Linked DNA regions of Lonchura striata. The protein of the gene in region 1 purifies or fractionates together with the protein of each later gene. This does not show direct contact. Links are inferred from orthologs where the notes say so. Each region holds a gene or a part of one and is shown in the gene's direction. Other genes may lie near its edges. The genes, in order: cadherin-1, CTNNA1 and PLEKHA7.

The links.
Region 2: the proteins of cadherin-1 (region 1) and CTNNA1 purify together in Homo sapiens (affinity purification with western blotting; 10 studies listed by BioGRID and IntAct, with this or other methods). This does not show direct contact. The link is inferred for Lonchura striata from reciprocal best matches to the Homo sapiens genes CDH1 and CTNNA1.
Region 3: the proteins of cadherin-1 (region 1) and PLEKHA7 purify together in Homo sapiens (co-immunoprecipitation; 3 studies listed by BioGRID and IntAct, with this or other methods). This does not show direct contact. The link is inferred for Lonchura striata from reciprocal best matches to the Homo sapiens genes CDH1 and PLEKHA7.

The regions. Positions count from the first base shown.
Region 1 is NC_134615.1:22,958,878-22,969,606, forward strand, and holds the start of cadherin-1, read left to right. Parts: upstream 1-5,621; 5' UTR 5,622-5,706; coding exon 5,707-5,763; intron 5,764-5,877; coding exon 5,878-5,992; intron 5,993-9,150; coding exon 9,151-9,380; intron 9,381-9,478; coding exon 9,479-9,610; intron 9,611-9,702; coding exon 9,703-9,858; intron 9,859-9,932; coding exon 9,933-10,077; intron 10,078-10,189; coding exon 10,190-10,362; intron 10,363-10,729. Other genes in the region: B-cadherin-like, read left to right, coding at 645-841, 916-1,026, 1,149-1,304, 1,381-1,525, 1,638-1,813, 1,906-2,034, 2,113-2,298, 2,384-2,628 and 6 more.
Region 2 is NC_134617.1:16,847,717-16,858,245, reverse strand, and holds the start of CTNNA1 (catenin alpha-1), read left to right. Parts: upstream 1-6,296; 5' UTR 6,297-6,405; intron 6,406-10,529. UniProt on the Homo sapiens protein: Associates with the cytoplasmic domain of a variety of cadherins. The association of catenins to cadherins produces a complex which is linked to the actin filament network, and which seems to be of primary importance for cadherins cell-adhesion properties.
Region 3 is NC_134608.1:49,091,512-49,101,948, forward strand, and holds the start of PLEKHA7 (pleckstrin homology domain-containing family A member 7), read left to right. Parts: upstream 1-6,107; 5' UTR 6,108-6,138; coding exon 6,139-6,221; intron 6,222-6,313; coding exon 6,314-6,390; intron 6,391-6,500; coding exon 6,501-6,558; intron 6,559-10,437. UniProt on the Homo sapiens protein: Required for zonula adherens biogenesis and maintenance. Acts via its interaction with CAMSAP3, which anchors microtubules at their minus-ends to zonula adherens, leading to the recruitment of KIFC3 kinesin to the junctional site.

The DNA.
Region 1 (10,729 bases):
GATGCCCCTCCAGCCCTGTTAAAGTTCTTTATCGCGGCCATCGCGACTGGGAGGGGCCCCGGCGCTGCCCTCGGGGCACGGTTGCTGCTCCCCACACGGCCCCACCGTCGCCCTCGGGCTCGGTCCCTCCGGTGTGGAGCAGCCGTGGGGCACAGCTCTCCCTGCCCCATTCCACACCTTCCGCAGCCCCCCCGGGCCGCTCGGCCGCCCGGAGCTGGCTCAGCTCCGCTAATCCCCTAATCCTTCCCCCGGGGGGTGCGGAGCCGGGGCTGTGTCCGGCACGAGGGATGCAGCGTGGGAGGCGGGGGAGGGAGATTCAGTGCCCAACGATCTGGCCACGGGGGGTTGGGAGCCCCGAGGGGGTGACACACCGGGAGGGGGCTGGGGCAGGGCTCTGCCCGCGCAGGAATTTCCCATCATCTGTGAAACAAAGCCGAAACTTCCACCGAAACTTCCACTGCGCTCCCGTACGGCGCCCGGTGTTCCCTGCCCCGCTCCCGGTGTCCTCTTCCCCTCTTCTACCGTCCCCTGGCTCACTCCGCCTCGGCACTCTGGGGGATTGCAGGGTCCTGGAGCTGGTGGTTGCGGCTCGGGGGTGTCGGGGGAGAAGTTCCCCCCACCCCCCTGACCCCTCACCCTCGCAGGGAGCTCCGGAGGCTGCGCGGGGCCGTACAGGACGGAGGAGCCCGATGTCGGGGTGCGGGAGGACGGGGGCCCCGTGCGGCTACCGGGGCTGGGCAGGGCGCTCGCCGTACCCCCCCGAGATGCTGGTTCTCCCCGATATGCCGCTGGCCAGCCAGACCCTGGCCCAGTTCCCGCAGAGAGCAGGCGCTCCCCCCAGGTAACGCTGCACCGCATATCCCCCACCCCCTGCTCCCCCAGCCGGCTGTGCCCTCACTCACCCCCATCCCACAGGAGCTGCCCGGGGCTCGCGCTGTTCTCAGGAGGCAGAAGAGGGATTGGGTGATCCCCCCCATCAAGGTTCCTGAAAATGAGAGGGGCCCCTTCCCCAAAAAGCTGGTTCAGGTACGACACTGGGCAGTCTGGGCATGGGGGTGGGTGCTGGGGGTGCATCCCCGCTGCATCGAGCAGGGTGTGGTGGGGTGGGGGATTCTGACCTCAGCCCCTTGGTCTGTGTCTCCTCCCAGATCAAATCCAACAGGGACAGAGACACCAAGATCTTCTACAGCATCACCGGGCAGGGAGCGGACGCCCCTCCCGAGGGCATCTTCACCATTGAGAAGGAGTCGGGCTGGATGAAAGTAACGCAGCCGCTGGACCGCGAGCACATCGACAAGTACCACGTAGGTCCTTGCCTGGGGACACCAGAGGGATGTTGGGGTGCTGTGCCAGGCCCCCCACTCACACCCCACCCCGCAGCTCTTCTCCCACGCCGTGTCTGAGAACGGGAAGCCCGTGGAGGAGCCGATGGAGATCATCGTGACAGTGACGGACCAGAATGACAACAAGCCCCAGTTCACACAGGAGGTGTTCAGGGGCTCTGTGCCAGAGGGAGCTCTGCCAGGTAGGACCCCGGGCCTTGGGGAAGCTCTGCATCCCACCAGCCGTATTCCTTGGGCACAGCCTCGGCACTGTGCCCCCCAGCATCCCACTTACCTGCACACCCACATCCCCAGGCACCTCCATCATGCAGGTGACAGCCACGGATGCGGACGATGCAGTGGAGACCTACAATGGTGTCATTGCCTACTCCATCCTCAGCCAGGAGCCACGGGAGCCCCATCCCCAAATGTTCACTGTCAACCGGGCCACTGGCACCCTCAGCGTGATTGCCAGCGGCCTCGACCGGGAGGTGGGCTCTGCAGCACTGTGGGGCAGGGTCCCAGCCCCAAGCAGGGACTGACACAGTGTCTGTCTGTCTGTCTGTCTGTCTGTCCACCACAGCGTGTGCGGGAGTACACACTGACCGTGCAGGCAGCTGACCTGGATGGTGAGGGACTGACCACCACAGCGCTGGCTGTCATCGAGATCGCCGACGTCAATGACAATGCCCCCGAGTTTGACCCCAAAATGGTAATGTGGGCACCCCCACTGGTGTGATTCTCCTGGTGCCCGCTGGGCCGTGGTGCTGATGATGCCCCTCACCTGCAGTACGAGGCGGCCGTGCCGGAGAACGCGGCCGGGCAGGAGGTGGCCCGGCTGGCTGTCACCGACCTGGACGAGCCCGGCACGCCGGCGTGGCGAGCCGTCTACTCCATCCTGCGCGGCAACGACGGGGGTGCCTTTGCCATCACCACCGATCCCGCCACCAACGAGGGCATCCTCCGCACTGCCAAGGTCTTTGTCATCCCATGTCCCCCATGCTGCCCACGGAGAGTCCTGCCTGTCCCACTGTCACTGCCGGTGTCTCCCCCTCTGCCAGGGTCTGGACTATGAGGCCAAGCAGCAGTTCGTGCTCCACGTGGCAGTGGCCAACGAGGTCCCCTTCGTCGTGAAGCTGCCGATGGCCACTGCTACGGTGACTGTCACTGTAGAGGATGTCAATGAGGCCCCGGAGTTCGTGCCACCCGTGCAGCTGGCCACGGTGTCAGAGGATGTGCCCCCGGGGCAGACCCTCACAGCCTGCATGGCCCAGGACCCTGACAAGGCACAGGGCCAGACGATCAAGTGAGCGGGAACAGGGTTGGAGTGGAGGTTTGGGGGATCTCTGCTGCCCCTCGCCCTAGCACCAGCTCCCTGTGCCCCCCAGGTACCTGGTGGGGCACGACCCGGCGGGCTGGCTGGCCGTGCACCCTGAGAATGGCCTGGTGACCGCACGGGACCACCTGGACCGCGAGTCCCCCTTCGTCAAGAACAGCACCTACATAGCTGTGCTGCTGGCCGTGGATGATGGTGAGGGACATGAAAGGGCCCTTGTTCCCCCTCCCGCGTGAGGAACACGTGCTGCCATCACCAGGAAACACATCCCAACTCCAGCCTGGCCCCACCCTGCCCGGGGAACCCCAGCTCCCTGAGGATCCTGGGTTTGGGACTGCCCCTTCCAGCATCACTCCTTGCTGTTCCCACCCTTGCCCACAGCGGCTCTGTCCCTGGGAAAGCCTTGGTTTTGAGGCTCCTCCTGTCCCCATGCCTGCTTAGTCACCCATGTCCCCATGAGAGCCCTGGGTTTGGGATCCCCCCTCCAGAACTGTCCCCACCAGGCTCACCACCGGCCACGGGCACGGGCACGCTACTCCTCACCCTGCTCGATGTGAACGACAACGGCCCCGAGGCGGAGCCACGGGACATCACAGTCTGCCAGCGCAGTCCCCAGCCCCAGCTCCTCACCGTCACCGACCGGGACCTGCCCCCCAACACCGGCCCCTTCCGCGCCGAGCTCACCCACGGCTCGGGGGACAGCTGGGCTGTGGAGGTGGGGGACACAGGTATTGCAGGGGGGCTGAACATACTGTGGGGGTCCTCGGCAGAGGCAGCTGTGCCACGGCCGCATTCCTGGTGCGTTGTCCGTGAGCCCCCAATCCCACGCAGGTGACACAGTGACACTGCAGCTGGTGGCACCGCTGGAGCCAGACACCTACAGTGTGTACCTGCGGCTGCTGGACCAGCCGGGCAGAGCCCAAGTGACCATTGTCACCGCACGGGTCTGCGCCTGTGAGGGGCAGGCACAGGGCTGTCCCCAGAGGTCCCAGCCTGTCACCGCCCTGCCCTTCGTCCTCGCCACCCTGGGCGCGCTGCTGGCCCTGCTGCGTGAGTGGAGATCCTGGGGCTCCTGGGGCTGCGGGGATACCCCAGCTCTGGGCACAGAGGGGGACACATGTCCCTCCTGATGGCACTCTGCCCCTCAGTCATCCTGCTGCTGCTGCTGCTCTTCATGAGGAGGAGGAAGGTGACAAAGGAGCCGCTGCTGCTGCCTGAAGATGACACAAGGGACAACATCTTCTACTACGGGGAGGAAGGTGGCGGCGAGGAGGACCAGGTGGGTGTGGGGGTCAGGGACCTGGTGACAGCGTGAGCAACCTGACTGTGCCCCTCTCCATGTGTGTGTGTCCCCAGAACTATGACCTGCGGCAGCTGCACCGGGGGCTGGACGCCCGGCCCGAGGTGATCCGCAATGATGTGGCCCCCCCGCTCATGGCGGCCCCCCAGTACCGGCCTCGCCCCGCCAACCCCGACGAGATCGGGAACTTCATCGACGAGGTGAGTCCTGCCCCGGGAGCCTCGGGGGTGACACGTCCCTGCCTCACCGGCGCAGGGGACACAGGTGCTGAGCCCTCTGTTCCCCCAGAACCTGAAGGCGGCCGACACGGACCCCACGGCCCCCCCCTACGACTCGCTGCTGGTGTTCGACTACGAGGGCAGCGGCTCGGAGGCCACCTCGCTCAGCTCCCTCAACTCCTCCGCCTCCGACGGCGACCAGGACTACGACTACCTCAACGACTGGGGCGGCCGCTTCCGCAAGCTGGCCGAGCTCTACGGCGGCGGCGAGGAGGACGATTAGGGACCCCCAGCCTGCCTCTGCCCCCGCCTTATTGCTGCTTCTGTGCCTTGGGGGTTCCCCCTGCCGTGCCCCCTCCCCACCCCAGCGCAGCCCCCTCACCTCCTCGCCTGCATTTTTGTGGTTATTATCTATTTTTTAAGGTATGGAATGATGGCGTGTGATGCTGCAGACAAGGGGATGGGAGCCGGGTCAGTTTTAATAAAGGATTTGGTTTTTTTAGATGTTTCAGGGTCTGTGTCACTTTGTGCCCTGGAGGTCGGTGCTGCCCCTAGCCCAGCAATGACCCCGCTCCAGCCCTGTCCTCCCTTGCCCACTGCAGTGTGGAACCTCTGGCACAGCTGCAGCGTCATGCATCACTGGCCATGCAGGGCCAGTGCCCGTGCCCCCCGTCCTGGGGTGTCTTCGTCCCCAGGGGGTGTTGATGGGTATGGGCAGTGCACTGACTGCCAATCTGTCCATGGGAGTGACACTGGTGGCATTGGGCATTGCTGGTGCTAAATCTCTCCTGGCCTGGGCAGACACAGCCCTGCTGCTACCCCAACCCCCTGAGATGACCATGGGTGCTAGCATGGGTGGGCACAGCAGCCTCTGGCCTTGGCAGGACCCTAAGCTCTGAGGGTCTCCCACTGGCTCCAGGATCAGGTCCTGACACAGGATGGGGGTCCCCTTCCCCAGCTTTGGGGATGGAGGGGTATAGGGGAAGTCAGGGACTGCAGCATCCTGAGGGGCCCTTCCTGCCCGAGGGGTCCCTGGGTACGATGTTTGTCCCCTGCTGCAGAGCTGGGATCTGGGGCCGTGGCATGGGGGCACCCTGGGGTACTCCTGGCTCCTGTCACCCACCAACACCCCCTGCTCCCACTACCCTGGACGGGAGAGGCATGGAAAGCACGAGAGCTGTGTGGCTGGGGCTGGGAATATCAGAGGCTCGAGGAACAGCGGGTACCTGGGACGGGCAGAGCACCAGGCGTGTAGAGGGTACCGGGGGCTGGTGGGGTACTGGGGGTACCACGGTACCGGGGACCGTGGGAGAGAACCGCACCGGTACCGTGGGGGGTTCCCGGGTACCGGGCGTCATAGGTACCGGGAATACGGGGGTGCGGGCGGGGAGGGACCGCCTCCCGTCGGGGCGGGACGGGGCGGTTCTCGGCGGGGCCGACACCTGCGAGGAGGGATCGGGAGGGGACCGGACGCACCTGCGACTCCGCGGCGGCAGCGCCCGATCCCTCCGGCACCAACCGGCACCGGCTATGGGGCGGCGGGCGGGCTGCTCCGTCCCTCTCTGCCTCCTCTTGCTCCTGCTCCAGGTGAGCCACGGAATGGGGCGGCAGGACCCCGCCTAGGACCCCGCCGAGACCCTGCCCGGGGCAGCGGGACCTTGCTCGGGACCCTGCCCGGTGCTAACGAATCTCTCCGGGCAGAGCGGGCAGCGGCTGTGCCAGCGAGCAGCGTCGTGCCAGCCCGGCTTCGCCGCCGAGACCTTCACCCTGACGGTGCCGCGGGACGGCGTGGCGGCGGGACGGGCACTGGGACGGGGTAAGGACACGGGGACAACCGGGTGTGGGGACAGGGTGGCTGTGGGATGAGGACGGGACTATGGGTACAGGGGGGTGTGTGGGACAGGGACGGCCAGTGGGGGACATAAAGCCGTGTCTCCGTGCCCGAGTGGTGCTGGCGCGGCCACGGGGATGGGGCCGTGGGGACAGGGCTGTGGCAGCGGGGACAGTGCCATGACGGTGGGGACAGGCTCGCTGCGGTGGCAGGTGGCATGGGGGACAGAGCCTGGTGTGTCCACACGCAGCGGAGGGGCCACACTGCTGGTCCCAGCGCAGGCAGCCGTCGGGGGTCCTGGCACGGCGGGACGGTGCCGTGGCGCGGGGGCCGCGGCAGCCGCTCCCCGGGGCGCGCCGGCGCGGGCGGCGCTGACTCAGGCACCGCAGACCTGTCGGGGCCGGCAGCCTGGGGTGTGGGGCACGCAGGCGCCTGCCCTGCCCCGTGCCTCGCCTGGCACCCGGGGTTCACCATGGTGAGCCCCGCTTTGGACCCACTGTGTAGGCCGCCAGGCCAGCTCTTGGCATGGGGATGGGCACCAGGATGGGCTCCTGGGCTTTTGGGGATGTTGGTGTCCCACTGTGTTGGCATTAATGCCCTGTTCTGGCATGGCAAGGGGGCACTGGGGACTCATGTGCTGGGGATCTGCTGCCACTCTGGGACCCCCAAAAGAGACTCCGTGGGCTCTGGGGCTGTGTGCAGTGGTTGTCACCATCTGCACCAGTTCGTGGCTGAGACTGGTGCTGGCACTGCAGTGTGTGTGCCAGGGTGGCCAGGTGGGCAAAGGGCTGAGGGGTAATGAGCACCCAGTGCTGCACCCAGGCTCCCAAACATCCTCAGCTCTGTAATGGCTTCGCCTGGGAGAGCCAGGAATTGGACCCTGCCCCATACCCCAGGAATTGTGTTTGTTTGCCTTGTGGTTGATCATTAACGTGCACAAGTTGATGTCCATCAGGGCTGGGCCTGATACGAGGGGGGGGGGTGACGGGCAGCCCTGTGACTTCCCTGCAGCACCGAGACCTGCTGGAAATCCTCTGTCCCAGCACCAGCACTTTCAGCTTTGGGTTCCGGGCACAGTCAGGGCGTGGGAGGAAGGAAGGGACCGTCTGCCCTTGAGGCCTGTGTGGCACCCAGTGATTCACAGCTGTGCCACAGTAATGCCACCTGTGGGGTGGCTGAGCCTGGTGGATGCCAGGCCGTGCTGGGCCATGGAGCACCCCAAAGCTTGCAGCCAGGCTGACGATCCGGCCTGTAATTAGCTTGATGAGTTGAGAACTGTGTTTTCCCTCCAACAGGCCCAGACAAGCCCCACGCGGCGCCTGGGCGGCGAACAGCAACACCTGCGTGGGGGCTGCGGCACCGCCAGGGCCCTGCTCCGTGGGTCGGGGGGCTCTGGGGTGGTGGGCATGTGGTGGGGGCTGGGATAGTGCCCCTCAATCCTGGGTGGAGAAACCTCGAGAGTCTGAAGTCACAGCGAAACTGGGGTGACGTCAGTGGGATGTGTCACCCGCAGCACCTTCACCCTGGGGTGAGCCCCCTGCCCTGTACAGCTGCATGTGTGCAACACACGGGGTGGTGGCACTGCAGGGATGGATGGGGACACCCTGCTCTGCCTGTGCCCAGTCCCACTGAGACCTCACAGGACATGAGGTGGCTTTGGGGGCCTGCCCTGATCCCCTGTGTGGGGTCTCAGCCCCACACCCAGTTTGGCAGCCTGGTTGTACCAGTCTGGTTGTCCCAGTGTTCTGTAGATGGTAGTGGGGGGGGGATCCCCCTTGAAGTGGGGGGATCCCCCTGAAGGACTCTCTTGAGTTCTTCTTTTCTCCCACCCCCATCATTCCCAGGAGAGGGCCCCCCTTCCACCCCCCCAGCTCGCAGCCCCGGGGAGAGGAGGGCTGGGGCCAGCCCTCCTTCAGCCGAGCTGGAAAAACAGGTTGTGCACAGCCAGGTGGGAAGGGGGGGAGTTGGAGGGGGAGAGCGGGAAGGGGGGAGCGGGTTCTGAGCACCCTCCTGGAAGCCAGTGCGAGCTGAGCACTGAGCGCTCACTGCACGCAGTGTGGGGCTGGGGGCCCCGTGCCGCCCCTCCTGCACCCACCGGGCCCCGAGCCAGGCCGAGCGCTGGGGCTGCGCCCGCGGCTGCCTCTCCTTCCCCGCCTGCCCCGGCACGCTCCTGCCCAGCCGGCCGCACCGGCTCCGCCCGCCCTGCCCGGGGGTCCTGCCGCGGGGCTGGCATCGCACCGGCGGCTCCTCCCGGGCCGGCTCGGGGGCACCGTGGTGGGCAGGGGGGCAGCGATCGTACCCCCTTGCATCCCGCAGCCAGCCCGCATTCCTGGGCTGCTCGTGGGCTGATGTAACCCACGGCTCCGTTCCCTTCCCTCCGTCCGGCGGTGCCTCCTTGCCCACCCCGGCACGGCCCCTGCCGGGGCGCGGGTCAGCCGGGGCGGCGGTGCCAGGGCTGGCTCCGGGGCCTGGGTGCCGCTGGCTCGCACAACCCTCTCCCAGACAAAGGCTGTTTGTTCGGGAGCGCGGCCCGGCTCATGTGATGCCCGCTGACCGCTGCCTCGTGGCGGCCCAGCTCTGCCGCGCCCAGCCGGGTGCCCAGCTAGTGACATCGGGCCCCGCCTGCCCGCTGAACCTGAGATTGGGGGTCCCAGAGCTACCTGGGCAGGCTGAGGGGCCTGACTGCCAGGACACTGGTGCCAGTGCAGGTGGATGGCTGCTGCCCTTGTTTTTATTGAAAAAGCAGCTGGAGCAGCATGGGCACAGTGGTGGTGACATGCTATGCCTGGGGACATGCTGTGCCACGGGGATACACCCATATGGGGATGTGCTGTGCCTGGTGCCATGCCATATATGGTGCTGGGGACTGGGACATGCTGTGCCAGGTGCCACTTGCTCCACTGTCACTGTCCGGCAGGGGTCCTCTGGCACAGTAGGTCCTGCCATGTCCCATCCTGGACCAAGACCAGAGCAAGGATGCACTGTGTGTTGTACCCAGGATGAAATCCTGGCAGGGCATCTGTCACTGTGTGTGGAGCATCCCTACCACTGCTGTGACCCCACACCCCAGGCTGCTGAAGTGGGGCTGTGCTGTGTGTGCCCATGTCCCCAGAACCCTCTGCCACTCAGTCCCTTGTCCCCAGTGAACTTTGTGGACTGTGGCGAGCCACGCCGTGCCGCCTTCCTCCCGGATGACACGCGCTTCAAGGTGAGCAGGGATGGCATTGTCTCTGCCACCCGGCCCCTGCAGCTCCAGCAGCGGGAGATCACCTTTGCTGTGCACACCTGGGACACCATGGGCAAGAAGCATTCAGCCAAGGTGACCCTGCGCCAGCGGTGGCACCAGCACCGACACCACGAGCGGGTGCAGCAGGTAAAGCACAGACCCACTCCCTGGGTCACAGCAGCTCCCGTCTCTGGTGCAGAGGGCTCAGCTGCAGAGGGCACTGAGCAGAGCCACTGTCCCAACAGGACACAGTGCCGGACACGCTGATCTTCCCGGAGCACGGACACGGCCTCCGGCGGCACAAGAGGGATTGGGTCATCCCCCCCATCAACTGCCCTGAGAATGAGCGGGGGCCCTTCCCCAAGAAGCTGGTGCAGGTATGTGTCCCCACAAGAACCAGGCAGGGTGCAGGGGTGTCCCCAGAGTGCTGGGACATGTCTCCACCCCCCTCTTCCTGCCCTGCTGCCAGATCAAATCCAACAAGGACAAGGAGACCAAGGTTTTCTACAGCATCACGGGGCAGGGAGCGGATACCATCCCCGCGGGTGTCTTCATCATCGAGCGGGAGACGGGGTGGCTGGAGGTGACAAAACCCCTGGACCGGGAGGAGAAGGATAAATACGTGGTGAGTGAGGGGGCATCTGTGGCGGGACGGGAACAGCCCTGGGGACTGCACACACACTGACTGTGCCCTTGCAGCTCTACTCCCACGCCGTGTCGGCCAACGGGCAGCCCGTGGAAGACCCCATGGAGATCATCATCACCGTCACTGACCAGAACGACAACCGGCCCGTCTTCACCCAGCAAGTCTTTGTTGGCTACATTGAGGAGAATGCAAAGCCGGGTACGTGGGGACTCAGCTGGGGCCACACAGAGCCCTGAGAGCAAGCAGTGCCAGGGTGTCTGGTGGATTCTGTCTCATCATTAAAATCTCCCTGGCTTGTCCCCGTGTCCAGGCACATCTGTGATGACCGTGAACGCTACGGATGCAGATGATGCGATCAATGTGAACAATGGCATCATCGGCTACTCCATCCTCAGCGAGGAGCCCAAGGGTGCACAGCGGATGTTCACCATCAATGCCGAGAAGGGCATCATCAGTGTCATTGGCACAGGACTGGACCGGGAGGTGGGCACCTTGCCACAGCCCAAGGGAACCTGCATCTATTCCACAGTGCAATGTGCCATGGGGAGAATGGGATACTGCAGCCCTGGGGTCCATCTGGTTTCGGGATGTGACATCTCTGGGTCACTGTCCCTGGCTGTAGGGATGTCTACTGCCTTAAGCCCACCAGGAGCTATGCTGGGAACACTCCAGGAACCCCCAGCCTTGCTGAGCCCTGGCGTGGGTACAGTGCCAGCCCCTTGGGTGGCCAGCTGGGACATTGGCTGCCTCTGTGCCAGCAGGAAACAGTGAAGCTGGAGAAGGGTGGAGGAGCAGGCAGGTGATACCTGGAGGAGGGGAACACCCCAGTCCCCACCAGCCCTAACTGGGG
Region 2 (10,529 bases), on another chromosome or scaffold:
GAAAATGCTGCCCCATCCTTCCCCTGCCCCAGGGTACAGACACAGAGAGTGGCCGCTTGTCCATGCTCAAAGATGGGGAGGAAAAGTGTCTTTTCCTTGATGACTTTCCTCCCAGTAATCTCAGCTACTATTTGTAAGGACAGCAGATACCACAGCCTCAGACAAAAGTCTGCTTTTCAAGCAATGATGTCCCTTTTTATAATAAAGGCTGCCAACTCCCAGAAGTGATAGCTCACAAACAATCAGGGAGAGGACAACGGGAATGCTCTTTGAGGTGCTGTGCAGAATAGATCATCCACTGTACAGCAACAAATCAAATTTAGGGAGAAAGAATTTGGAAACAAATTACCAGTAAGATATTTCAAGCTGACAGCAATTTGGAGCAACTTAGGTCTGTCTGGTAAGAACTGTATTCCTTTTATTTCCCTATCAATAGCAGCTACCTTATAAGATTGGTTTCTCATTGATAATTCTGTCTGGAACAGAAACTCCTGAGTACACTTAAGTTGATAACTCTCTCTTTGATCACATTTCAGTAGCAATGCTTTTCACCTTGACGACAGAATTTCTCCCTTTGGATGAAGTTTCCATGCCTAAAAAGCCACATGGGTGTGGGATTTCCAGGCTCAGGGAGCTCTGGCGCACTGCAGTGCTTGGACTCGGGGCTGGGAACGGCAGGGAGATGAGCCTGGGGCAGGAGCTGCAGGGTTCGGCGCACTCATTTGCTCTGCCTCAGTCTCCCTGATCGTATAACAGTATAGAAACTACTTGTAGGTGTTTGTCTTTATGGGAGAGGGATAATTCATATCTGCTACCGGCACCTCATAATGCTGAAACAAGGATTACGGGTGTTTCTCCGCACAGCTTTGCGTGCCTGGAGGAGCAGTGAGGAGCTGCACATGGCATGTGCGAGTTCAGGTGTTCCCACGGGGAGCACAGGAATGGTGCAGCCACAGGCTCCGTGTGCCCCCACTGCCCTGCACTCAGCGGGCAAAGGGGGCGGGTGCAGCTCGGGTGCCAAGGGGCACGCTGGGGTGGAGGGGCAGTCGGGACTGATCCCACCCTGCACATACAGAATGTGCTGTTCCAGCACTGGGGACTCATCTCGTGCTGACAGCGGCGCTCAATGTGTTAATTACCGAGGGAGGTCATTAATGTCCATCAGCAGGCGGGGAGGGGACAGGACTCGCAGGGAGGAATGTGTTGGGGGTAGACTGGAATGCAGCAGTGCTGACATGCCCGGAGCAGGAGACATAAAAAGAGTGCACTAGCCTGTAATTTCTCTGCAATTTCTCCTCGGGAAGTAATGAAAGTTTACGGCTAGTCGTGGCAATGCCCGTGTCTCTCTTCCAGAAAGAGGCAGATAAAAATAGTTTAGAATCACACTGAGAAAAAGAGAAATTTGACATTCCTTTGAAAACTCTTTGTGGTCAAGTGCTCCCAGCTCACTTTGGCCAAGTACTTAGTAAAGAGGGATGCCAGCTGTGGCTAACAGTCCTTTAGGTTGCCCCCATGAAAGCCAGGCCCTGCTCATCTGCTGAGCAGAGTGATTTGGCTTGTTTAATCTTTAGAAATAAAAATGAAGGGATTTGTGCTGGTCCAGCAAAGCCCTGGCTCCCCTTGAGGGCTGTGTCAGCCTTGGGACAGGAGGGCTCTTTCCTCCTGGTTTTCTCCATTGCCCCACTTGCTCCTTGGGGCTGGTTTTGACCTTGCTGAAGCCTCACACGATCCTGCTGAGCTTTCAGGGAATGTGCGAGGGTTCGGTGCTCCGGATGCAGGGTAAGGTGCTGTCAGCTTGGGGTTTGTTTCCACTCCACTGGCTTCTGCTTTGTGTCTAACATTTGGGAATAAATTATCAGGAGGTGGGAAAGCCTTGATCCAATGATGGTTTCAATTTGTAGCTTAAATTGTGACCTTTTAACACCCCAAATTAAAATCACCCAGCACTTGTTCTGCACTGCATACCTCCTGGATTACAAAAGCAATTGACAGTGTTATTTACTCAAGCAGTGCCTTAGAAACGAAAATCTTTTTGTCTGTTCTCCACAGATATGAAATACTCAGTCACGTAACAGAGGCTGCATTTAACATGAAGAACCTTTTTCCTCTGTGCCCTTGGCTAAGCTCTCACAGTCCCACCTCTACAGGAACCACATTTCAATGGTGCTGTACACCCCTTAGTCTTTACAGCATTTTCGGATCTTTCCAGATGGAAAGTGCCATAAAAATGTAAAATATTATTAATTAAAGGCTGAAATAGATGCAGTGTGTGGAGGTCAGTGACTCATGCAGGAGGATTCTCAGGCTTCTGCTATGCATTGCCTCGGGGTGCTTTTTTGAATGTTCCCTTCTCCGGGGCTATGACAGTTTATTACACAAAGGCTGTGTGAAGCTGGAGGTGAATGCAAACTACTTGGGCTAAGAACAGCAACCAGTGAACCCAGTTCATGCTGAGCCTTTTGGGATGGCATAATTTCCCCTCATTACAGTTTCTGCCTGTTTTTTGCAGGCAGCACGGGCTCTGTGCCACAGCCCCTGTGCTCCTGGCCATGCTGGTGCTATAGACTGCTTCTCTTTCTGGAGGGCCCAGGAGCATTTGACAGTGTAGGAAGGGAGTGTTTCACTTAGGAGCCAGTGGCTTCTTGATTAGGAACTGGGCCATGTTTCTAGCACACAGTTTTCCTTGGAGAGGGTGGCAGTGATGGGGAGCACAGCCCTGGCACCAGGAGCACTGTGGCTGCAGCTCCCAGAGAACCACTGCTGATCCCAGAGGCATTGCAGCATCAACTGGGTCTGATCCCTGCGCTGCCAGCAGTGCCAGGGAGCCCCAGTGTAGCTGCAGGTGTACTGGTAAATCCCTTCTTCTCCTGACTGAGGCTTATTTCAGCAAGGCAGGTGTTGTAATCACAGCTGAGGCTGTGTACCTGCAGTCTCCCCAGAAGCACCACATACCAGCGTTTCCAGAGTCCATTGCATTGCCCCAGAACACTGGAATTTGGTTTCTGGCTGTACACATGCTCATTCCTAGCTGGATACTGCAAGACAATCTTAGCTCTTTATGTGTCTGAGCCCTGAAAAGAAATGGTGTTGTCTCCCAGCTGCATGGAATACTGAGATGAGCACTGGAGAGCCCCCAGGAGTTGGTGCCAGGCCCTCATTGTTCCTTTGCTACATTCCTGACTTCATCAGAGCCTCCAGTCTTCGAGGGAGGCTGCATTTTGGGTGACTCCTACAGCAAAGCTCACCGGCTGCGAGTCCCTGCCCTGCTCCTGCCTTGCTGGCAGCCCAGGGACAGGAGGTGACAGGGCTGTGCCCGGTGACTGGGTGACTGCTGCTGGCAGTCACACAGCTGGTGGCACAGCACGGCTGCCCTCGAGCTGTCCCCACGGCCCAGCATGACATCAGTGTGCAGAAAGCCTCAACCAGCTGCTAGTTGAACCTGGAGATTCCTTTAGAGTATTTGGAATTTTTCCTCTCTCTCTTGGTTCCTGCTGCCCATTCAGCCCCTCCAGCAGGACCTTCAGCTTACCATTACAACACTGTATTACTTTTCCTCAACTTTATTTCCTTCCTTCTGTCATGCCTCTCAATCCCCTCACCACTTCCTGCTCCAGCAGTCCTGTCTTTGAAACTGCCGTGAGAGGTGCAATGCTTCCATCTTTTGCAAATAACTAAACAAAACCACTTAAAAAACCCCTCCAAAACAAACACAAAACCACAGAGACCAAACAAACATTTTGAAATGGAGCAACTACCCTTCAACAGCATTGTTACAGAAACAGAAAATCCAGTTCCAGATGAGGCACATCATTTAGACCCCGTACACACTGAGACTGGCAGACAGTGGAGCTCCAGCAGGTTGCTAGATAAACAAGCCCCTTCCTACACAGACCCAGCCCAGGATTTACAGGAGAATGCAGCTCCCCTGCAGTGGCTACACCCACACAGTATCTCCAGGTGGCCCTGGCCAGGGATTGCCCTTGTACACACCTAAGGAACAGGGCCAGGCTGCCAGGAGTGTGCAGCCGCCAGCCCCGCTCTGCTCTGGGTACCTTGGATCGTCCTCACTGGACGGGAGCGTTTGTTCATTCTACACAAACAACCTCCCCCAGTATCGGGGTGGCCACCTCGCCTCTCTCCCTGTCCTCTCCCCTGGCTTACCCTGCGTTTTCGCCAGTGAAAAAGGGCAAGAAAAACATTTTAGAAACCACCAGGAAAATGGGATTACAAAATCACAAACACTGTTATGGGAAGATTTGAGGCCAAGCAGAACACTTGTAACTCATTTCAGAAAATGCATTAGATTTCAAGCTGCCAATGACATGGGCCGGATGGGAGGTGTGAGCTACTGTTGCTGGGTGCCTGTCTGAACACTCCCTGCATTTCAGTCTTGTTGACAGAGCCCAGTGCTGTGATTCAGAGAGAGCTGTTAATTAAGAGACAAAGTCCAATCTCAAGCTAGCTGGCTCTATTTTTACATAATTTTATGTTTTGTTTGCTGAGCCTTTTAACTCGCTCCATGAACCAACAGAGCTGCCAGCTGATCTCCTACTTTTCCCTTGACTTTTCAGTGGTGCAGTGCAGAACATGTGATTCTCTACAACTCCAGGCCTTCTACTTTGGAATCTGTAGGTTTAAAAAGGAATTTTTTTTTAATCTGACATTTTGTCCTGAAAGGATGTGAGGCACAGAGAACTGCCGAATGTGGAAGGCACCACAGGAGGCTAAGACATGATATTAAAACGAGTAATGAAAGAAAGCAAGCTATTGAAGTGTAAACTCCCATTTTTACTGAGAGTATGCTACAGACAGAAATGAGTAGTTTGGATCCCTGGTGCAATTGACACCAAATATTAATGGTTTGGTATAAGCAGGAAACACAATGAAATTAAGAAATCTGTTTTCCTCATATTTCCATAAGAGAGTCTGTTTGTTGAGGCACTGAAGACCTGTATTTTTTTTTTAATAACCTGTATCTCAGTCAGTTTCATAATTACAGATCTCACATTCTTTAGACTAATTTCACTCACTGACAAGGCTGGGCTCTTGATCCCTATTTTATTTCTGGATTATAAAACAACAGTACTCTACTTACTTCCTTGTCTTGGATCTCTTTCTTGGATTAAATCTGCAGGAAGGAAAAATGCAATCTAATTCCCCACAGGAGTGTTCCTGCAGGAAAGTTTTGTAGGAATATGGCAGTGATGGGAAACACAGCCCTGCAAATCCCATTGAACCAGCATCTGGAGGAAAGTCACAGTCCTGACCACAGTGTGGTCACCTGTGCTGTGACACTGACCTCGGGCCAGCCCCTCACTCAGTCACATACCTTGAATGAATCTTCCTTGTAGGTTACTCAATCTCTCTATTTTTTGCTTAATAACAAAGGATGGAGTGTGTAGCTTCAGGTATCGCAGAAGTGCTGGCAAATGAGTCATGAAATGTATTCAATTTATTCAGTCGTCTTTACAATCCAGTACAAGTGTAAATTCTGTGGCGAGATTTGTATCAAAAACCATCTCAAAACACACCACAGAAAGTCCCAGAGTAATTTGTCACTCTCTCACACAAAATGCTCACTGAGACTTTTCAAAGAAAACTTTAAAACAAATTGCCACATAAAGACAACTTTCTCCACCTGCAGACCTGCCTCTGCAGGTCAAGGTTAAGTTTGCAAAACCTTCCTCTCTTCTTAGAGGGGTGCCTGTGGCGTGCTTGTACCCTGGGATTTCCTCTCACCTGTAGTCTTGTTATTAGAGACATCTGGATGAAAACAAGGTGTTTCCTAAAAGCAGCAGCTCTCTGGAGGGTGAAAATATCTGGGTTTTTCAAAACAAAACACCAATACAGAAACCCAGGGGGAACCCATAACTTTCCCTGTTTCCTTCAAACCCCCTACGTCCATCACTTCCCCTCTCTCCAAAGACCCTCGGTAAGTTGCGCTTAGGAGGACAAGGCCAGATATTGACGTCGAATTTGTTGATTCTGCCTCAAAAGTGCCATCCTAAGAGCCTGGGCTGGGGGCGGCCAGGGGAGGGCTGCGAAGGGAGGCTGCCCGTGGGCGCACGGGGCGAGGGGGACAGGGAGCTGAGCCAGGCTCCCTGCAGGGCTGGGCGGTTTGGAGGTGCCTGCCCGGGGTGAGGGGACCCCCCGTCCTGCCCGGGGTGAGGGGGTCCCGCCGTGCCCCGCCCGGCCCGGCCCGGCCCGGCCCGGCCCCGCCGTCCCTCACCTGCGGGCGGGCGGCGCCGGCAGGGCGCGGGGGCGGCGCGGCGGGCGGTGCCGGGAAGAGCGGCCGGGCCGGGCGGGGAGGCGCCGGAAGAGCCCATTTCCTCCGCGGGACGGGACAAAGCGGCGGGGCCGAGCGCAGCCGGGGCGGCCGCACCATCCCAGCCCAGCTCTGCCCCGGTAAAGTTGCGGCTCTCGCACTTGGAAACTTTCGGGCGCCAGCCGGGCCGTGCTGCCGCGGGGCTGGGGCGGGGGGCAGAGGGCGGGAGCGGAGCGGGCCGCGCGCGGGGAGGGAGCCGGGCCCGGCTGTGGCGGCGGCGCTGCCCCGAGCGGCGGGGCCCGCGTGGGAGCGGGCGGGCCCGCGGTGCTGGGGGCCGCCAGCGCGTTCCGCCGGGGGAGCCGCGCGGCCGGGCCGCTCCCGGCGAAGTTTCGGTGCGGCGGGGCGGTGTCCCGGCCCCTCCCCGCGCGGCCGGGGCCGCCCTGGCGCCGCTCCCCGGCTGCGCTAGGGCCGGCGCGGCCGGCAGCCCTGGCAGCGCTCCGTGCCGTTCGGCCCGCGGTCTGCCCGGGCGGCGCGGCCGAGGCCGCATCGAGCCCTCCTCCAGCCCCGGCCGTGCTGCTGATCCCGTGCACGGACAGCCGGGAACACCCCGCGGCCCCACCTGGCTCCGCCACGTTTTCTGACACCCACCGCTAATCCCCTCCTCTGCTGGAGGGCGTGGGCCTCTCCTTCGCTGACAGAAAGTTTCGTGCTACTTTTTCCCAGACAAAAAGCAGGAAGAGCGCATCCGCTCCCGGGTTATGTGCGGCCCCTGCGTCTGCTGCCTGTGGCCCTGGGTTCCCTGGGTAGCGTGGGTCACCCGCCTGTTATTCATTGCTCCTGCCAGTTCAAAACGCCTAAAATCCTTCAGACTGAAAGTTTGCAGCAAAGTGTGTGTTCCAGTTATGTTTAGTGACGAGTCAGATGTGAGCAAGGCACGGCTCCCTGTCTGTGTGCCCTTGGCTCGCCAGCCGTGCCCGGGAGGTGGCTTCTGGCGAGGGTCATCGATCGCTGCGAGCCCCATGACCGCGTCCTCAGCACAGCATTCCGAGTTGTGACTCCAGGCGTGTCTGGACTATCTGTATTGAACTAGTCTGGGAGCTCTTTGCTGCTCTTCCCCCTTCGTTTGGCTTTGTCTATTGTTTTTTTGGGATGGGAGTTGTGCAGAAGGTGTTTTCTGGGTGCTTCAGTCACTTGTGCTCTAGTTAATGGTTTCCTGTGTTTTTGCTGCACTGGGTCTGGGGAGGTGGGAGAGGCTACACTCCTCAGTCCTGCTGGCTACGCCAGGTTCTGGGATTGTTTATGTCAGTTCCTGGGTTGGTTTGTAGGCAGGATTGTGTTGATGAAGGTGAAAGCCCAGCTCATTTTACGCTAGATGTAGCCTTTGCTCTGTCTCGGGGCAGCAAGGCCACATTAAGTGTTTTGTTGTTGTACTTATTTCACCCTTCTGAATCGAAACATGTTGTTTGAAAGGACATACTTTGATGTTGAGTCACTGTTCATCATTTTCAAAGAAGCAATTTCTAAAACATCACGGAAATGTTTTGACTTTTCTCAGCAGAAACAAAGGTTTAGTAGGTTTTGTTTTTAGAAAGGCTTTGCCCTAACCTTTTCCATAACAAACAATGTGCCTTCAGTCTTTACAGTTTTTTTTCAGCCAGCTCTAATAATAGGCCTCTGCATCGGAGATTTAAAGTTTACACAAGGTGGCTGGGGGAAGCGCAGTGGGCAGAGATTAGAAATCCCATGCTCAAATCGATGCTTTAAAATACAAATGTAAATACTTTCCTCACAGTTGATTTTCAGGCTTTGAAACATCAGCATTTCTGTGCTGATATGTGTCAGGACAGACCTTAAGGTGCGGCTTCTTCGTAGGGCTTCTGTTGGTCTAATAAATTTAACCGGAAGATGTAACAGAAGAGTAATCTGTGTTTTTTCAGCAGCATGAATATCTTCTTTCTGCAGCTGTAAGATACAGAAACTGATCTTGCAAAGGAATCCAGATTAAGCAGAACTGTTTATGAGCTGGAAATACACTTTTGTGGGACTTCAGGCCTGCCTTGAATTTACATCTGCTGTTACTGTTTGATTTCTAAATGACCTTTCTTATGCAGAGAATTAGCTAAGATCACAAAAATACTGAGTGGCCAAACCAGCCTGCTCGTCATAGGTGGGCAGTGGGGCTGCTCTGGAGCAAAGGCCCACGTGGCTGTGGTGCTTCTGTTCAGGACTTGCTGGGTTCTGTTTTACTGGTTTCTCTTAGCTTTGCTGGACACCAAAGGAAACGTGATGAATTAAAGAGGACTGAGTGTCACTTTGTTAGGACAGCACCTTATGAGACAGTCACTCAGCATAATGATGAGTCACAGACTGGTTTGGGTTGAAAGAGACCTTAAATCTCTGGTTCCATTCTGCTGCCATGGGCAGGGGCACCTTCCTGGGACACCTGCAGGGAAACCCTGCACCTGCTCTGAGCCCTTCTACCCTGGCCTTGGATGCTTCCTGGGATGGGGCTTCCTGCTGTTGTGCCTTAACTGACATCACTCAAAAGCTTGTGCTGCAGAACTTCAGTGTTGAGAGTATGACCTTGAGGAATGGGATCCGTTACTGCTCTGGGAATTCACCCGAACTGTTCTACAGCTAATCTGGAATAGCTCCATTCAGTGAGTTTATAGCTGCTCTGTTGGTTAAACAGCATTGCAGCTTTAGAGAAAGTGCAGATGTTTGATAATTACTACTTTTAACTCCATACTATTTTAATCCAGAAAATGAGATTTAAAATAGAGCTACCACAAAATTGTATGCTAGCACCCTGACTGGATGAGCTCCTCTGGAAAGACAAGCTGTGAGAGTGGCCTGCTGTTTCACGAAGGAGAACTGGGTGCAGATGGATTTACTGGGGTGAAGGAGTTGCAGGAGGAATGAGGTCACTGCAACTGGAAGTGGGATTGTTCTCCTCTAGTGACTGAGACTCCTTATCTGCTAGTCAGGGTGAGAATGGGTGTAACTGTGATTTCTGGTGTGCAGAAGGTTAGTCCAGACTATCTGATACTTAAATATGATTCATAATGCCTTGTGACTGATGGATTTAAAGAGCTAGCTACCTTTTCTCTCAATATGATTACATATTTTTGCTTGTTAATCCCAGATGTACTACAGAAAACATCTGTTAGTCCTTTGATATGTGATTATAAATATCTCTGGTCGAATTAAAGGAGTAATCTTTTTCCCCATGTTTTGTGAAGTGATAGAAATTATTCAATACACAGATCTAAACTAACACAGTTTGCAAAGTGAAATTCTCCCCCAGTCTGACGTTCCCTTGTGTTACAATTTCTCTAATTTAGAAGACAGCTAGTTATTAATCAGTTAGACTCCCAAGAGCCTCTTCTGAAAGGCTTTAAATTCAGGGATCAATGCCAGTATCCCGGGCTTATCTGAAGCACTGTGGGCAGCAGATCAAGGGCAGGGATTCTCCACCTCCTGTTCAAGTGAGCCCCCAGCTGCAGAGCTGCCCCAGCCCTGTCCCAGCACAGGAGGAGCTGGAGCTGCTGGAGCCAGGCCAGAGGAGGCTCCAGGATGAGCAGAGGATGGAGCAGCTCTGCTGGCAGGAAAGGCTGGCACAGCTGGGATTGTTCACCTGGAGAGGAGGAGGCTCTGTGGAGACCTTAGAACCCCTTCCAGTGCCTAAAGGGACTCCTGAGAGAGCTGGAGAGGTACTTTGGACAAGGGATGGAGGGATAGGACAAGGGGGAACAGCTTCACACTGCCAGTGGGCAAGGATAGATAGGCTATTGGGAAAAATTCTTGGCTATGAGGGTGGGCAGGCCCTGGCACAAGGTGCCTAGAGCAGTTGTGGCTGCCCTTGGATCCCTGGAAGTGTCCAAGGCCAGGTTGGACATGGGAGCTTGGAGCCACTTGGAACAGTGGAAGGTGTCCCTGTCCATGGTGGGAGTGGAATGAGATGAACTTTAAGGTCCCTCCCAAGCCAAACCATTCTCTAATAAACCTAGGAATGGAAAAAGCAAGCATGAGGCCAGCTGTAGCTAAAGGAATAACCATTACCAAGGCAGAGAGTGGAAGAGCACACATGAAGCCAAGCTGGAGGCCAGGTGGTTCTCTGGTAGCTCTGTTTTAGTGCATGGAGTGGCACAAGGACAGATGAGTGTTGATGTTACAGCCCTAGAGCGAGTTGAACTCCTGGTAGTGAGGGGCTTGAGAGTGAAGCAGGTGGGGAGCTGGTGTCAGTGTGGCAGGTAGGATTGCA
Region 3 (10,437 bases), on another chromosome or scaffold:
CTGACTGAGATTTTGTATGAGCCAGCCTTAAGAAATTGGTGATAAGGTAATACCATGATATTCCTACTTAGGCTGCTTTACTGCTCATTACATTTGGGAAAACTTCTATGTATCATCTATCTTCAAATTTATCTTGGCATAAAACAAGCTGTTTTCTACTCACTCTGACATGGATAAGCAAGGAACAAATTGGTATGTATTAAAGGAATTGGTATGTATTAAATCTAATCAACTATATTTTAGTTTCAAAATAATACAATACTAATCCTTTTATTATCTTGTTTGCTTTCCCTATCCACTAAGGTAATGTGTAGTCTTGGACTTGAATATTTTTAATTTGTCCTTTTCAGGTTTTAAACAGTCTTAAGACTTCAGACTGGAAAAAAAATCTTTCTGCATGTTCAATCTATTTCATTAACTGCTTCTTCAACCCACAGCCGGACACTGGCTCTAGCTGTGCGTGCCTATTTTTTTTTTCAAATTGAAGAGTTCTGTTGCTACTGCTCTCCTGAGACGGCTTTTCCCCATGCTGTCTGAGAATCCAATAGCTGAAGTTGTTTTCCCCAGTTTGAACAAATATACCACAGTGATTCCTTGGTGTAGTTCTTCCATAATCTGAAAAAGTGTTGCAGTTTTAAAATAACGGCATTGGAAATTTTCCAGAAATGTGGATTTGCCTAAAGTCTCCAAGATCTCTTCCCTATTTCCCCTATTGTCTGATTAATACATTCTTCTACCTCTAAGAATCAGTATATTAATTTCTGGTGTCTTAAGCACTTACCACTGCTAAAAGGGAATCACGCTGCACAATCCTGAAGAACAATGTGGTTGCACAGCCTATATTTCAGTATAATCAGACAATGAACTGCTCTGAAATTGTCTTGCAAATTAATCTGTCTCACCATGAAACCTTTCATAATTTTAATTCTCAGCTGTTCCAAGCAGAGCTGGAAAATCATGCTAAAAGGCATAATACATGTTTTGCAGCTAAAGGGCATAATACATTATTTGCATTATGGCTTATAAGCTTTCTTAACCAGGATTTAATAATTCAGATTCATTACTCTTCCAATGCTCTGCCTCTGTCTGGCCTCACACCTTTTATAAGTCGTGCTTATGCTTTATAAAATATACAGCTCATGATGAAAAAGTCATAACTAGCAGGCTTTCCTATGCATTGTACCTCATTTGAGCTTCCTGAAATAGCAGCAGCTTTTGCCCTCTAAGATGATCAGATTCAATTGTATTGAATTCTCTGAAAAATAGGAAATAGATCATTAGAGTACACACCATGCTGAAATCCAGCTGTGATTCTCTAACCTTCTAGTCACTGGATCTAATTGTGAGTGAAGGAAATGATACCTTTTTTTTTTGTGATTCCCATATAGTATCTCTAGCAATATTTGCAGGTTCCTACTCAATGTTTTGCTGAAAAGTTATAGCATATGGAGGGTTGAAAAAATGCAGGGAAACATGTAGACCTGATGGTGCAGGGGGTGGGGGTGTGTGTAATGGAAGTGGAATAAAAGAGGAAATGAGAGTACTCAGATGTTGCCACTGCCAGGGTGAAGCTGGGTTGTCAGGGGAAGGGTTGAAAAGAAAGGGATGAGGTAGAAAGGATGTCCATATTCATGGAGTTTATTCTGGAAATAGCAAGGGCATGTAGTGGTAGGAAAAGGGCAATGGTTTTATACTGAAAGAGAACAAGTTTAGAATATAAATTAGGACTAAATTCTTTATGGTGAGGGTGGTGAGGCCCTGGCACAGGTTGCCCAGAGAAGCTGTGGGTGCCCCATCCCTGGCAGTGTTCAAGGCCAGGCTGGATGGGCTCTGAGCAGCCTGGGATAGTGGGAGGTGTCCCTGTCCCCCAGAGGACTTGGAATGAGGTGATATTTAAGATCCCCTTCCAACCCAAACCATTCTGTGATTCTCTGTTTCAATGAAAGTGCAGATACAGATTTTGGTGTACTTTAAAATGTATCACTGCTCTCCCAATTTAATGAAGTCAGCAAAAAAGTGTTCCCAGAGGATGCAGACAGAGCAAGTAACATTAGTGACACATTCCTATAGAGCTGTCAAATGTGGGTTCAAACTTCCAGTATTCAGGGACCTCATGATGTCTCCTTGAATTACCCAGTTATCAACAAAAGGAGCCACAAATATCCTAGGTTTTATTAGACCCCTGTTGAAGAACATAATTCACTTTCTTTAGCTGAGTTCCTGATATTGTGGCCTTAAAGTCCTAATTTTACCCCAAATAGTTTCTTCCAGACAGTGCCTCTAGAGTGTAATGAATGATAGATAATAGAAAAATGTCTGATATCAGCCAGAGAAGACTGGAACTAGAGCCTGAAAACAAAACAAAACAAAAAAAATAACAGAAGAACCAGAAGAATCTGGTAATGATGCCTGGAGGCATTCTTCCTCCAAGGTTTTAAATCACAAACCTACATCCTGATGAGGCCAACACAAGTCAGCTTGTGAACTTTTATGAATCTAGACTAAGTTTTCATCTTGATCTTAATTTTGGAATAGAGCTCTGCAAATTACAGTAAGAAAATGTGCTTTTCCAGTAATGCATTTCTCTGCAATTTGCAAGAGTATGTGATAATGTGCTAATGCCTTAGGCACCATGATGCATCAACTCCAGATTTGGTCATATGACAATGGTGACAAATTGAAACAGGGAGTTTCTAGCTTGATATGGTGAAAGTATTTTCACCACGGGCACAAGGGAACTAGTTGCTAAGAGATTATGTTGAATTTCTGTCCTTGGAGAATTTTCACATCCTTACCTGGACAAAGGCCTGGGTCACCTGGTCTAAAATCAATGCTGACACTGCAGGAGGCTGCACTGGTAACCCCAGTCTCTTTCATTGCAAGAATGGAAGAAAATCAATGAAATGGGGTCTGGGTTCACAACAAAAAAAAAGAAGGTGATTTTTCACTCGGGTAAGCTCAGGTAAGGTGAGCATTAGGAACACTTTGCTGCTGCTGGGTGACAGAAGTTGTGTGGCCTCTAGTCTGGACAGGTTCACAGAAAAGATCCATTAAGAGTTACACATGGTAATAACACCTTGAGCAAGATCTTTCTGAGCTCACAGCTTCTGCAGGCAAGCACTGGATGTAGGTACTGGAGCTAAGGAAAGAAGCTGGGCAGTTGCCTATGACTGCCTGGCTCCTGCACTCTTTCCTGGCACCTGCTCCTGTTGGGACATGAGACAGAATACTAGGCTAAACAGACATTTAGCTTGACCCAGTACAGATACCTTTAGGAGCTGAAATCCAAACCACAATAATGTTTTGTCAATGAAGTTACTATTCATTTGAGGTAGACAAGCCTATTTTGTCAAGATGGAGTTACAAGCTAAATGCAATGAGTTGATGCAGCTGATGGAGCACAGACTTGCTTCAGAGCATCATGGCAATGAGGGACTCCAGAGCAAGAGCTGGTCTTAATCTCTTCTGCACAGACCTAAACATGCAGTGACACTAAGTAACTTGTATTTGACTTTGGAATTGCACAGGGACTGACTTTATTGCAAGGTATGTGATAACTCACACCTGACCAGAATGACTCAGAATTGTTAGGGCTTGTGTGGTGGGTTGACACTGACATCAGGTGCTCACCAAAGCCACTCTGTTATTCCCCCTGCTCAAATAGGGGAGAGAAATTATAATCACAGGCTTGTGGGAGATCCCTCACCAGTTACTGTCACACGCAAAAGAGACACAGCTGGGGGAAATTAATTTAGTTTATTACCCATCTAAGCAGAATAGTATATTGAGAAATAAAATCAAATCTTAAAAACATCTTCCTCTACCCCCCATTCTTCCAATTTTATTCCTCATTCTCAGTACCACTGATGGGGAATGGAGGCTGTGGTCAGTTCATCACATGTTGCCTCTGCCACTCCTCCTCCTCCTCCCCTGGAAGACAGTTCTCCATCAACTTCTCCAACTAAGTCCCTTCCCATGGGCTGCAGCTGTGCATGTGCTGCTCCTGTGTGGGTCCCTTCCACGGGGTGTGCTCCTTCCTTCAGGAACAGGCTGCTCCAGCGTGGGTCCCCCCAGGGGTCACGGCCCCTGCCAGCAATCGTCCTCCACCACAGGCTCCTCTGTCCCTGGGGCCGCAGGCTCCAGCACAGGCTTCCCAGGGGGTCACAGCCTCCCTCAGGCTTTGGAGTGGAGTCCTCCACGGGCTGCAGGTGGATCTGTGCATCCCCGTGGTCCTCCACGGGCTGCAGGGGCACAGCTGCCTCACCATGGGCTGCAGGGGAATCTCGGCTCCTGTGCATCCTTCTGCACTGACCCTGGTGCCTGCAGGGCTGTTCCTCTCACATCTTCTCACTCATTCTCTGGCCCTATTCCCCCTTCCTGCTAACTTTTCTCCCTTTTTAAATCCCTTATCCAATACACTGGCCAACACTGAGTCCATCCTGGAGCTGGATGGCATTGCCTCTGTTGGATGTAAGGGAAGCTTCTGGCAGCTTCTGACAGAAGCCACTCCTGCAGCCTGCCTCCCTCCTCCCCCCCAGACTTTGCCATGGAAACCCAATAAGGTTAAAAAAATAAAGGCAGCACGGGAGTTTTAGTATTAGAAGTTTTAATCAAAATTCTGACTTAGGATAAAGGGCTACAAGATACTCTCTCCTGCTTTATAACTGTGGATAAACTAAAATTCTGTGGATTGTTAATGACCATTCCTGGTTATTAGCTGTCACTGTACAGTTTGTATATTTACTGTATATATACAGAATAGTATCTTCTCCAACAGTGGTCAAAAAGGGAAGTCTACACAAAGCTATCCTGATGCACCAGACCTGCAATGTTGTCTGAAACTGGCGTGAAATAAAGCAAAATCCTCTCTCTCCTGTCTAATGCTGCTTTTCTCGCCTCCTACTTTCTTCTGATGATTTATTTTGGTTATTTAGAAGGAAAAGCAAACGTTATCATTTTCCCTGTACTGCAGCACTCTGCCCTCTTACACTCTCCTACTGCATGCTGGCGTTCTCCCTCTCCCCCACAGCCGTGTCCTCAGTTGTCTCCTCTGTTTTTCTTCACTAACCTGACCCTAGTCAGACTCACCTACCCTTTCCCACCCCTTTTCGCAACCTGTCTTTCCCGTTTAACACTCTCCTTTCACGCCAAGCCTGCAGATGTCCCATTTCCTGCCTTTTTGACCCTCTCTCTTCCCCAGTATCAGAACATCAAGAGCCCTACAGAGCCATGCTTGGCTCCACCACTGCTGCCCTGATTGAAAGAGGCATTTCTGCTCCCTGAACCCCTTGGCTCTGTCAATCCTGCTGCAACTAGCGCTACCGCCAAGCCAGGGCACTGGCCAGGACTCCGCACCTGGCACCCATCCTCGCTCTGCTGCCTGGCGCTAGGATGAGAGTAGGAAACCTACGGGCTCTGCTGTAGGGCACACCACTCACTCCTTGCTTGTCCCACCCACTTTGTCCCTAAGCCACATTCTGAGTGACTGGAGCACTTAACTCTAGCTGGAGCATCCCCGCTCACCACACCAGCACCAGGAAGGGTTCTGGTCTGACAGGGAGCCAGCCCAGCCCCACTGAAGTTACCCTCCTGCCTCCTCCAGCTCAGGGACGAACACAGGGGCTGGCACAGGTCCCTCCCGATGCCGGCGACCGCTCTGCTTTGCCGGCCGGCTGCTGCTGCTGCCTCCGTGCGATGTTTTAACCTCGGTGCCCCCGCGGTTCAAAGTCCCCGCGGCCCGTCTGTCCCTCCTCACCTGGCGCCGCTGGCGAGCGCGTCCCCGGGGCACGGCGGCAGCCAGGTGCGCTCACACCTGTACATCCGCAGGGCTGCGGGAGCGGGGCGCGGGACAGTCCCGGTGCCTCCGCCGGGCGGAGCGCGCTGCGGGGATGCGCGGCTCCCGCCCGCGGCGGTGCCCACGGGAAGCCGCTGCGCCCCGCCAGCCCGGGCGGGGCCGGGGGGCGGGCGCGGGGCAGCGGCGGACAAAGCCGGGCAGCGCCGCGGGCCCCCGAGGGGCGGGAGGTGCCGCCCCCCGCCCGCGCCGCGGTGGCGCTGCCGAGCAGAGCCGGGCGCTGGGCGCCGAGCGCCGGCCGCCCGCCCGCCCGCACCCCCGCCCGGCCGGCCGCGCGCGCGGCGAACATGGCGGCGGCGGTGGGGCGGGACACTCTACCTGAGCACTGGTCCTACGGCGTCTGCAGGGACGGGCGCGTCTTCTTCATCGAGTAAGGGGGAGCCGCGGGAGGGGCGCGGGGGGCGGCGCGGCCCCGCCGCCGCCCTCACTAACAGGTGCACGTTTCCCGCTTCTCCCTCGCAGCGACCTGGCCCGCCGCACCACTTGGCTGCATCCGCGCACCGGCGAGCCCGTCAACTCCGGCCACATGATCCGCTCAGGTGGGTGCCCGCGGCGCGGCGCCCCCGCCGCGGCCGGGAGCCTCCGCGGGCGAAGTTCTCACCCCTCCTTCCCGCTCTCTCTCTCTTTCCCCGTCCCCCGTGCCTTGCAGACCTGCCCCGCGGATGGGAGGAGGGCTTCTCGGAGGAGGGCGCCAGCTACTTCATCGAGTGAGTACCGGCTCCCGGCCCCGCGCCGCCCGCCCAGGGCCGGGGGGCGCTGGCGGCGCGGCCCCGGCTCAGCCCGGCCCCGGCTCAGCCCGGCCGCCCCCGCTCCGACCCCGCACGTCGCCGGCTCCATCGTGATCCACGCCGGCCACAGCGGCACCGGGCTGCGCCGTGCCAGCGGCGAAGTTGGCTCCGGGCGCGGCGGGATGCGGCTCCCCCCGGCCGCGCTCTGGCGGTGGTCAGCAACAGGTTTCCTTGGAGGCGGCACTTCAGTTTTGCCTGTTTGTTCGGGGTTTTTTTTTTTGCGTGTGTTTGTTTGCGGGCTGGCTGCTCCCCCCTCTCCCCGCTATTTACGGTGAGGTTTGCGGCAGGTGGAGCGTCGCCTTGCTGAGCGCCGGCCGAGGTGGAAGGTGAATGGTGGTTTCGTTGTTTTAAATGGCTCGTGGCTGCGGACGCAGCCCCGGGAAGTTTTGCAAGTGAAAGGCGTCCAGTGTCTCTTCCCGGAGACGGGGCTGAACGGATGAAGTTGCCTTGCCAGGGCTGGTGGTGGATGTCGGGATCTTTCATGTGGCGTTTCTTGTTCGGAGAGCAATTACGAGCAGGGATGTGCTGCTTATTGAGACGCTTTTATTCTGAGATGCAAGCGTGTTGCAGCAAAGAGAGCTAAGAGAGCTTCTTTCAAACATTGCAGATATAAGGCTTTTGCAAAAACAAACGCCGATGTAAAAGTAGAGATTCAATCAAATGAGTAAAACTTTGGTACGTTTTGCATGTGGAGTCACGTGTGATGCCTTGGCGTTTCCCTTTGCAAAGCCGAATGCCTGACAAATTTAACGGAACGGGACTGGGAAATGCTCAGACTATCTCATTGCTCCGGTGCAGAACTCCCAGGCTGTTAAGTATAGCCCCAATAACTGCTGACAGCAGTGTCTCAGTTGTCCAGTATCGAAATGCCTGCAGAGCAAGGCATTTGAGTAACTTGAGGTTTTAGTAAATATCAAACTTCCAAACCATACTGGGCTCGGTGAAGAAGCAATTGACTGAAGGTGTAACAAATGCCTCACATGTAGGATGTTTGTTAAATAAAATTCCACATGATTATAAAATGTCCTTTTTTCACCTGCAGAGGAGAAAAAAGGCATTCAATCTTCATTTGTCTGAGCCAGAGAATTCCTTGCAGTACTGGGCTGGGCACTTAGTTTAGCCCTTGACTCTTGAGGAGGTGGTAGCAAAGCACTGGAGAGCAGCTCAATAACACTTGGAGCTGCCACCCTTTATCTATGGCTAGAGCACTGAAAAGAAGGAATAAAGTTCTGCTGGTTGCACAGGCCAGAGATGGAATTCTAAAATGTCCAGTCTGTGAATGTACTGTAAACAGATCCTTTACATGGGTAAACTTCTAGGTGTAGGAATACATCTATTTGTTTTTCTCTCTTTTCCAGAAACTTACTAGTGCAATTTTAGAACGGCTTAAATTCCTCTTCCCAACTGCTGTGTTTGGAACACCATCTCTTGTTTGTCAGGCACTTATAAAACTTTTAATTCGTGATCCATTGAATTAAGAGTTCTGTGTAATGCATTTTCATAACTTGTGCTAATAGTGCACTTTACCTTGGGCTGGAACTGCTGCAGGAAATGAAATGAGGAATGGAGTGTGTATTTTACTGAGCAGTTTAATAAACTCAATCATCTTTAGCCAAGCAGTTTTGTGAGGAGACAAAACAATGTTTTAACATAAATCTGTTCAGTTGAACTGCTTGAGACCCAAGATCCTCCTGATATGGAATGCAATATTTAATTCTTCAGCAGTGATACTTCACCCAGCACTGCTCTGACCTCTCTGATTTCAGCTCAGAGGCTCCTGAGCCCAATGGAATTTTTCATTTTTTCTACCATGAGCATACTGAGCTCTTGTTGGGCTCATGTAAACATCAGTGTCCTTAGATGATGATTTCTATACCTCACTGCTCTGTTCATTCCTCCTGTGTTGCTTCCACGTGATGAGTTCTCAGCTTACAGAAAAGGTTACTGGTCCCTAAACGCATGATTTCACATGCTGCTCTATTAAATTCCATTTTCTGGCATTCCAGCTCTCAAAAACCATGAACTTTCCTGGATAACTACCCAGTCCTCTTTGTACTGGTGACAGTTCCAGTCTGGTGCTGTCTACAGAAATTTGACAAACACATTGTTACTCCTTGGATACTAATATACTGAAGGGTGTCAGGAGGAACATTCCAAGTAACCCCTCCCCTTTGTGGTAATTTCCACAATTAATATAGCCTATTGTAGTTTTACCACACTGGCCACTTGATGGATCTTGTAAGTCTTATTCTTTCACTAATGAAATGAAAAGTATTATTACTAAGTATTATTGCTGTTTTAAATAACTTCAATCAAACATTTAAATATATATAGGCTAACTCCACTTACGTAACTGATTTCTGGTATAAAGGTCATGAAAATATTAGGTAAAACTTTGGATGTGAGTTGTCTCTTATGTAAAAAAAAAACCAAACTTAACTAGTCTTATGTCCATTTACTTCTGTGTCTTTATTGCTTCTTTCAATACTATGGACAAACTTGAAACATCATAAAATAAAACAAAGATCTGAAACATCACAGAATGAAACAAAGGTTTATAATATGGTCAAGCTGCATATCAAAACCAGGTAAGTTTTTCTCCCCTTTCCATGTAACAGGAGTTTGAAAATTTCCAAAACTCCACTTCTATTGGATAGAAGCTTTCCAAATGAACGTGCTGTGGTTTAGAATGTTTTTTGCTGTTCTGTGGTTGGGCAGCTGTCCTGTAGTTGAAGGGGTGCTGTTTTCCCTTTGGTTATTTGCATGAGATGCTTGTCTGAAATCACATTCCCTCTTAGCCTTATTTTGCTCAGCTGAGTGAGCCAAGTTCTTTGTGCAGCCCTTTAAGAAGGGCTCTCTGTCTGTTTGGTTGTCCTCTAGTTCTTCTCTGCACCTCTTGCAATACGAAGTCATCTTTGTTGCATGTGAGTGAACAGAGTCCTCTGCTGGAGTGAGCTTTTGTGAGGCTCTCAAACAACAAAAGTCCTTTCTTGGCTTCAAAAATTTCTCAGTTTTCTGCATTTTATGTTGCTTGCCTATTTAGGGAAGACGCCCACACTGGCAGCACATGCGAATGCTGCCAATTGACTGAAACATGCAGGTCTTTCTTTTTCTTTACTGCTTTAAATTTTAAGAACCGTAATTTAGGAAGCTACATTTCAGTTCTTCCCATTTATGCTTATCCTTATCTTTGTAAATTATTTTCTCTGTTCCAAATATTCCTCAGGTTTTCTTGATAGTGGCAAACCCTGTTAGGGCAGTGCTGTCTCTTATCCTAAAATCACTAAATAAAACATTAAATAAGTGATGTATAAATCAATTCTTCTGGATCTCCATGTAGTAGTCTTTGAAAATATCATGGTTGCTACATTTTTGGAGTGCTGAATACAGCTTGCACCACACTTTTCCATCTCTTTTTTTGTTTGTTTAATGATGTTTTTGAAATACCTTGTGTTTGTGGGGCAAGTGCTTTATGGGAGAGTCCCTGCAGAAAGGTTGTTGCTGAGCACATGTGGAGCTGAATGAACACTGGCTCTGGTTTGTTTCTGGTGGTTGGGTTGCTGATGTGAAATGTTAATTGTGGTTGGCAAACTCCTTGTGGGGAAGGAGATGGGCCATGCAGGGAGGGCAATGATGGTGGTAAAGCAGTGCATGTATGCATTAATTACAGTGCAGGTTTTTCTTTACGTTTGCTTCTCTTTTTCTGATTGTCCAAAAGACTTGGGGAAGTTGGAAAGCTTGGAAAGTGTGGAATGCTTTTTTATTCCCTTCCTACAGCTTTCAAAGGTTGAGGTGGCT